Linked DNA regions of Danio rerio. The protein of the gene in region 1 purifies or fractionates together with the protein of each later gene. This does not show direct contact. Links are inferred from orthologs where the notes say so. Each region holds a gene or a part of one and is shown on either strand. Other genes may lie near its edges.

Evidence for each region.
Region 2: the proteins of nrbp1 (region 1) and tsc22d2 purify together in Homo sapiens (affinity purification with mass spectrometry; 5 studies listed by BioGRID and IntAct, with this or other methods). This does not show direct contact. The link is inferred for Danio rerio from reciprocal best matches to the Homo sapiens genes NRBP1 and TSC22D2.

Annotation. Positions count from the first base shown.
Region 1 is NC_133195.1:28,699,645-28,703,645, forward strand, and holds part of nrbp1 (nuclear receptor-binding protein), read left to right. Parts: intron 1-506; exon of another isoform or gene 507-1,111; coding exon 1,112-1,165; intron 1,166-1,257; coding exon 1,258-1,321; intron 1,322-2,223; coding exon 2,224-2,279; intron 2,280-4,001. UniProt on the Homo sapiens protein: Required for embryonic development. Plays a role in intestinal epithelial cell fate and proliferation, thereby involved in the architectural development of the intestine potentially via the regulation of Wnt-responsive genes.
Region 2 is NC_133197.1:37,220,733-37,225,237, reverse strand, and holds the start of tsc22d2 (TSC22 domain family protein 2), read right to left. Parts: upstream 3,063-4,505; 5' UTR 2,534-3,062; coding exon 1,188-2,533; intron 1-1,187. UniProt on the Homo sapiens protein: Reduces the level of nuclear PKM isoform M2 which results in repression of cyclin CCND1 transcription and reduced cell growth.

The sequences.
Region 1 (4,001 bases):
TGAGACTGCTAAGAGAACTGCAACATTTTACAGATATAAACCACACTATTTCTTTTTTAATGCACTCAGTGCGATGTTCAGACCCAACTGTGTTAACCGTATCAGCTAAACTCTCCCACTCTATTTTTTTTCTTTTGTTGTTAATTCCGGAGAACAAACTTGCAAATAACACCGCTTTTCTCCAGTCTACCTCCGAAAGCAGCACCTCCAGTTCACATTCTGTTCAAAGTTTCTCTTTTTGCTTGATTTTGCCGTTGCTTTTTCGTTGGGTTTTGCAATTAGCATAGTCATTAGCATATTCATACGGGGGAGGAGGCAGGGAGTGGTTTTGTGCTCGTGCATGTTGCGCTCAGTTTCACGTTCATTCAGATGTACAAAAGAATATGCGTGAGATTCGGCGTACGCAGTGTTTCATACATCTGAATTTTTTTCTGCGTACGCACATTTACAGCTTTGTGCGTACGCAATGTTTTAGTAAGATTTCCACGCAAGTCTTCGTACATGAGGCCCCTGGTGTACTGAAAACAGTGCTTCTATTGGCATCAACTGAAAAAATACGCTCAGCTCAGATAAAAAATTCTTCAGTTGACATGTGTTAACTGTAAAAAGCTATAGTACTTGTTAAAAGCTATTAGTTACTAGTTAAAATTGTTAGTAGCTTATAAAGTTATGGTAATTGATAACCTTAACTTTTCTAAATTTGATTGTAATGCAATAATGTTTTGTAAAGCTGCTTTGAAACTATAATTATTGTGAAAAGTGCCATACAGATAAACTTGAATTAAATAGTAACTAGTTTAGATAAAATAATGTTTATATCAATTATTATGATATTGTTAACATTTTAGAAGTAATAGAATATACTGTATTTTCCTTTTTTAATGATGTATGCTTGTGGTGGTGGTTGTATATTTATTCTAAATGTCACTAGGCTACTGTATTTCATAACAAATCCATAAAACCATAATTTGAACTTTTTATAAACATTTGTATGGGATATAGTCAGCATTATTTATTTTATTATTAGGTTATTTGGGGTCATGTGTTTTGTCATAATCTCTCTCTCTCTCTCTCTCTCTCGCTCGCTCGCTTTCTGTTTCTCTCATTTAAGGTCGTACAGATGCAGTGCAACATTGAGCCTGTTGAGGAAGGAGCGAAACATCATGTAAGTTCTTTTTTTGTGTCCCCTGTGTTTATTACTGGGCTGATGTTATAGGTTTAGTCTACGTTCATAACTCTTCACTTCTCTTTTTATAGCTGACCTTACTTCTAAAACTGGAAGATAAGCTGAACCGACACTTGAGTTGTGATTTGGCACCAAGTGAGTATTTTATCAGGCCTCAAACAAACTCTACACAACTATGTAAACACTTCCAGCTACACAGTTGGATTTCACATTCTGTCGTGCCCTTAAACGTGTTACAATGCTGCACAAGTGTGTTGCGTTCTCAGCTGCAAGAGATGCTATAATGGGCATCAGTGCAGTCGGTTTTGTCTTTCAAGTCAGCTTAGCTCAGAAGCTTGCTGAGATGGTAAAACTGTTAGCTAGCTACCCGAGTACATGTTCGGTTTAATCCAGCAGGGATTTAAACCATAGTTATGTTTTATGTTTCAGGTCTAACATTCTTGTTTTTGTTCTGAACTGTCAGTGAAGCATTAGAGCTGTTCAGAAGTGCATCAGATTGATTAAGAATTGCCACATGTTGACACCTAATTTTCATAAAATTAAAATGATTAGAACTTAATTAGTATTTGGACACTTCATTTGATTGCTTTCTTTATCATATTTATCAATTTTATTTGATGCAGACACAAATGCAACATCACGTATGTTATAAATTATGAATTATTTATACTGAATTATTATTTATAATTCTAATTTGCATATATTTATAAACACAAAACAAAAATAATTATATTTTTTTATACAAATGATAACCCAAAAAAAATTACCCAATTTAACTAGAAGTAAAATAATCAGAGACATTCAGTTATTAATTTTCTTTTCGGCTTAGTCCCTTTAATAATTTGGGGTCAACAACATCACAACATCAACTGACCCAGCCGAGGCTCAAACAAGGCGACAGCACTACCTACTATAATAATATCAAAGAAACGCAACACTCTATCTAAACATGAGCATGTGGAATAAATAAGCTGCATGTGTAATTATTGCAAAAACAGTACTAACTTAAGAATGATGTGTGTGTGTGTGTGTGTTAGATGAGAATGTACAGGAGTTGGCTGTGGAACTGGTCCAGCTTGGTTTCATTAGTGAGGTAAGAAGCTTCATTTAGATGTGCTGAACACAACAATTTTTAAATGTTTTACGACCTTGTTTTTTCCCAGTTGTACATAACATTTGTATTTTGTTTATTTTCACCATTTCCTAAAGATTCACACCAAAATTTCAGTTTTTCTATCAATAGTTTTTGTTTTAAAATCTTACCAGGCATATTTACAAGAATTATTTAATGACATGTTATATTTTGATATGCACAGGTCAGGACAAGCATGTCGTTTCGTTTCAACATAAGTGTCATGTTTCAAAACATAATCCATGTTTTTATGTTTAGTTACTAAAGCGTTAAGTTTTGAAGTAGACATTACTTTCTTTTTATGTGCATGCAATATAATTAAATTCTTTTGACAATTTTATTTAACGTGGTCACTAAAATTGGACAACTCCTATTTGACCCATATGCGTTTATTTGTAACTTATTCAAAATATATATTTATTATAAAACTTATTAATGTATAATTGTTTGTAATTTAAAATATAAAATTTTTATTTTTAACCTATTTAATAAGGATTCTTTAATCTACATGAACACTAACAATTATACTTTAAAATAGTGTCATTAGTGTCATTTCACCACAACGTTTGTAAATATCAACCAAAGTACTTAATTTGAATCAAATTTAACTGTAAATATATTTTTTGTGTGGATTAAATGAAATAAGTACATGCTTAATGATCGTTGGATTGAAAAAAATCATACACATCCTAATCTGTAATGTCAGCCTCAGAGCTCTTTCTGGTATATTTCATGAGGTATATAGTTTATTGCTTGGTCCAGTAAGAGGTCACTGCTTTTTTTTAGGCCACTTTTCTATTTCATCTTTCATTGGTGGTATGTTATTGTCTTGGATCAGTATTGGTAAGATCAAACTAATCCAGATTGAACAATGAAGATTGACATTTAAAAAAAAACAATTGTCACAAAGTTAAGGCTGTGTCCGAAACCGCCTACTACTCAGTAGCTACTGCATTTGAATTTAAACATACTACTCAGCCGTTAAAAAAGTACGCTCTATACAGTATGAATGTGAAAAGTATGAATGGAATTCGGACGTACTACATCCGCCAGTTTGTCATGGTCACGTGACCTACCTGCGTCAGTTGCGTCTCCTCACTTCCATTCATGAATTCTCTCATGGGGCATTATGGGATAGCGCAGCGTGCATGGGATGCGCATTTCAGAATCTCGCCGGAAGTAGTAAGTCATCCTGGTACTTCTCCCCTACTGATTTTCGAGTTCTATGAATTCGGACATTAGGGGTGTAACGATATTAAAACCAAACCGAAATAGTCACGCCCCCTGCTGCCCATTGTTGAGGTTGACGTCACTTGTCTCTAACTAATTGAACCAATTTAAACACATCTTTAATATCATATTTGATTAAATTGTTTTAGTAATGATGAGGATTTGTTCTAAATATTATATTCTAAAGTTAGTATTTTAGTGCATGTTATGTCATGTGACTTGCATCACACTCGTTACTACTGGACGCAGGATGGCTGCTTCACATAGTACTGAGATTGCAGATCCCCCAGACACATTTAAGTCATCTGTGTGGAAACATTTTGGTTTTCCAGTTGAGTACAGGAATAGAATTTGTGTCGTAGACAAAGCGCCTGCCTGTCTGTCTCAACTGTTTCACGAAACTTACTTGTAAGGAAAAACATTTAAAAAGTGTGGTAATTTCACAATGTGAGG
Region 2 (4,505 bases), on another chromosome or scaffold:
AGAAATGTGTCTGTTAAAGCCGTTATAATCTGTCACATGTGCTTCAAGCGAGAGAGAGAGAGAGAGAGAGAGAGAGAGAGAACCAGAGTACTGGCATGAAACTTAACAGGTATGAAAGTCGTGCAATTTACAAAAATGAGCAATAAAAGTCTGTTATTGATCCTCTGCTGGCTGATTTGCTGTTTATTCTAATCGCGAGCCGTTTGTGTTTTATTTTGTGTGTTTTTTTGTCATTTCGAAATGACACTAGCCTATATTTAAACTTTGTCACAGTTATTAAATCAGTGTGTCAGTGGCACAGTACAGGCTAAGTGTGTGTCAAACATTTTGGTGAACTACATGTGTTTGGGCTGGTTATATATTTGAAATAAAGAGAAAATGTTGACTTTAGCGATGACAAGGCTTCATTTAAACTGCAGAAGATGCCGTCTGACACCGAGGGGAAAAAAGCCTCACAGCAGCTGTTTTCCATCCTATTAGATCGCATTTCTTTAAATGATCAGTCCAGGAGATGGTGCTGATGGACAACAGTATTAGTTCAAAGAGGATAAAAGCATGTAGAATAGATTAAAACTATCGTTTCAAAGCTGTCCAAATGTGACTGTTTACAGTTACACGCATCAGCTGCCGACCGGAAGTTCTTCGCATTCTCCTTGCGCATACACGCAAAGCATAATGGGTAATTTTGCGTTCTAAGAAAAACGTCTATATGAAGCTATATGGAGGTCTTTTTATCATGTTTGGGATCCATGGCCTCTAAAATCTGTATCAATAAACAAAAAATATTTTTTTAAAATAAATTAAAAATGTTTTTAATATCTTTTTCCATCTCAGAACCACATACTTCACTAAATTAATAAATATTTAATAGAATTTATATGAATAATTGTGGATACTTGTCATCACAGTCACTGAAAAACATCCATACCATGGGTCTCCAGGACATGTTTGTGTGTTAAACCAACCACATTCATTAAAAAAAAAAAAAGTCAATAAACAAGCAAAATACTCAACAAGAAACCAGAGCACAAACTCTGCCTCAGACACTTCCTAGGAAAAACCCAACTTTTCAAAGCAACAAGAGTCCTTCATGTGCAAATATTTAAACACCTGCAATAAAATGTGTTATTTACTGGCAAAAGAACCAAACGCCCAAATGAGCAATGACAGCGAGAGAAAAGCAGTACCTGTCCTCGTCCCCGTCGATGGGAAGGGCGATCCCGAACAAGCTGTTGACCGCAGGTGTGTGGAGCTGCAGGCCCTCGGGGTTCAGGGGTCTGATGGAGAGTCCCGAGCTCTGCTGCAGCATCTCCGGCTTTCTCAGGCCCTCGTCTATGGGGCCAAAACCCGAGAGGCTCATCTGTGCACCCAGTCCCACAACTGACCCGCTGGGCACTCCCTGAGGCTGGTTCTGCTGGGGTGCTGCATTCTGCTTTGGCACACTCTGAGGGGTATTAGAGGCACTGGACATTACAACAGGCACATTTTGCACGCCGGCGTGAGAGCTGACAGACACGGTTACTGCTGGCTGGATGAGCGGCGCTAAGGCCTGCGCCACCATGCCCATGCCCGGCTGAACGGCATGCTCCGGCTGGCTAATGGGAAGGCCCATCCCGAGTAAATGCACACCCCCGGCTGCAGGGGTCATGATGGGCGATGGGCCCTGGGTTAGGGGGGTAACCAAGGGAAGAGTGGCCACTGAGACCACCGGGGAGCCTGGAGGCTGATGCTGCGCTCTGTAATCTGTGACTAAAGTCTGAAGCACCTGAACGGGCTTCTGCAGCGGTTTACCTGCGTAAAACGGCTGCGGCTGGGTTGTGGAAGGCATGCTGGGAGATTTGGCATCGCCAAATGGGTTCTGCGGTGCAATACCGAAGGGGTGCTGCTGGAGCTCGACTGGAGGGTTTGATGGTGCAGAGATGTAGCCACTATCTGTGTGCGGGTCTGCGGCAAGCGTGGAGACATGCGCAGCCGCCCCATCCTTGTCCACGCTGTGGTCAGTGTGTTTGACATTATCCACAGTCCGGCCAGCATCAGTGTCCCGCTCATAAAACTCAGTGCAGGTCCATCTACCTCTCTTGAAGGGTTCACCTGTACCATGGTCTAACTTGATGACCCTAAAACGGGAGCTGCAGGTGCTCACTGTGGCCGAGCTGCTGACTGATGTTGTGTGTGCGGTGTTTGGGGTGGAGGTTTGGGCAGAAACAGAGGCAGGGCTCATCTGGCCCGCAGCTCGGGCACTCGGGTTCATCTGAACAGCACTCGCATTGCGCGAACTGTCCTGGACAGATGTTTCGGCTTCGCTATGCAGCGGTTCGTCCGTCAAACTGACGTCACAGGCCTCCGGCTCGAAATCTCCACCTTTGGACATGTCGTATATCTCGGACGAGGACACGTCCTCAGTTCTGGTGGAGTCGTCCGGGTCGTCCAAACTCTCGGTGTCTTCCGTGTTGTTGTTTGCCGCCACCTGCGACTGCGTTACTACGCTCGTGATCTGAAAACAGCTCTTCTTTTTCGACGGCATTTTAGACATTTTGACCGCTTTAGGTGGGTTTTTCTGGTTTTACGTCAGACTGTAGGGCGCAGCTTCAATTTAAGCGCAGTTCCTGTAAAACTGTATGCTATAATTTTCAGTTAGCGTCAAGCTAACGTTAACTCCAGAGATCCGCGCGTCCTCATCGCGGCATTGTCAGACCTTTAGTTGAGTTCAAAGTGTACTCACGAAGCTCAAACACAACGACAGCTTTATTCCAGCAGTGTTTAATCCTCCCGAGCCCGTGTGCTTACTCTCCGTGGCCTAAATGAAGGCCATGTCCCGGTGTGAGAGTTTCTCTCAGGCCGCTGGCGCGGATCAAACTCCAGCCGCTGGACTCACTCGACTCTGAGGCGCGTTCAGCTTTCAGCGCTCCTCCGTCTGAAAAAGCACGTATCCTCCAGAAAACACGCTGGACAGGCATGCCGACGCGTAATAACTCATGTTGACTGTCTGTTCCTGAAGTTATTTCAGCCTGAGAGAACAGAATGCGGGTCTGTCAGTCTGTGTGCTTTCAGCTAACGGCTGCTCTTCCTCTGCTCTACACAAGATGGCTACGTATCGCACGCGCTGCACTATGGGTGACTGCGCACAGCCGCACGTAAATCAGTCGAGAATACCGAGCGCTGCGTACGATCCTTGTTTGTCAGAGGAAACAAATTCAGACGGCAAATATTTGTTTTCTAACAACAGAAAGTTTGTAATCCTCATTTTACGGACTCTCTTAATGTTTTATTTATGAATTAATTAAAACGATTGTTCTCCTTTTGTAGGCTTTATTAATAAAGAAGTTTTATTTTTCAATGATTTTGTCCCATACGGTAAAATATTAATACAAATATATTTTTGAACATATATATGTTTTACAATACATTATATGTTTCAATCCCAGAAAATACACTCATATGTAGGGCTAACATTAGGACAACCTTTATTTGCACATTAACCAATCAGCAAACTTGGCCTAATATTAAAGAGATAAATTAGATCTCCATACACATATGTAGGAAATGAATTTTGTTCAAACTTAAATATATTTAGATATATTTATATAAAAAATATAATACTAACACATTCTAGCAGTGTGCTAAATCCTTAAATAAAAATCCCAAGTAATCTATCTATTCTATCTATCTATCTATCTATCTATCTATCTATCTATCTATCTATCTATCTATCTATCTATCTATCTATCTATCTATCTATCTATCTATCTATCTATCTATCTATCTATCTATCTATCATCTATCTATCTATCTATCTATCTATCTATCTATCTATCTATCTATCTATCTATCTATCTATCTATCTATCTATCTATCTATCTATCTATATCTATCATCTATCTATCTATCTATCTATCTATCTATCTATCTATCTATCTATCTATCTATCTATCTATCTATCTATCTATCATCTATCTATCATCTATCTATCTATCTATCTATCTATCTATCTATCTATCTATCTATCTATCTATCTATCTATCTATCTATCTATCTATCATCTATCTATCTATCATCTGTCTATCTATCTATCTATCATCTATCTATCTATCATCTATCTGTCTGTCTGTCTGTCTGTCTGTCTGTCTGCCTGCCTGTCTGTCTGTCTGTCTATCTATCTATCATCTACATGTCTGTCTATCTATTTGTTCGTCCATTCTTCCATCCATCCACCCATCCATCCATACATCCATCTATCTAGAAATATATATATATATATATATATATATATATATATATATATATATATATATATATATATATATATATATATATATATATATGTCTGTCTGTCTGTCTACATGTCTGTCTATCCATCCATCTAAAAATCTATGTACATGTCTGTCTATCTATCTATCTGTCCATACATCTAGAAACCTATCTATCTATCTATCTATCTATCTATCTATCTATCTATCTATCTATCTATCTATCTATCTATCTATCTATCTATCTATCTATCTATC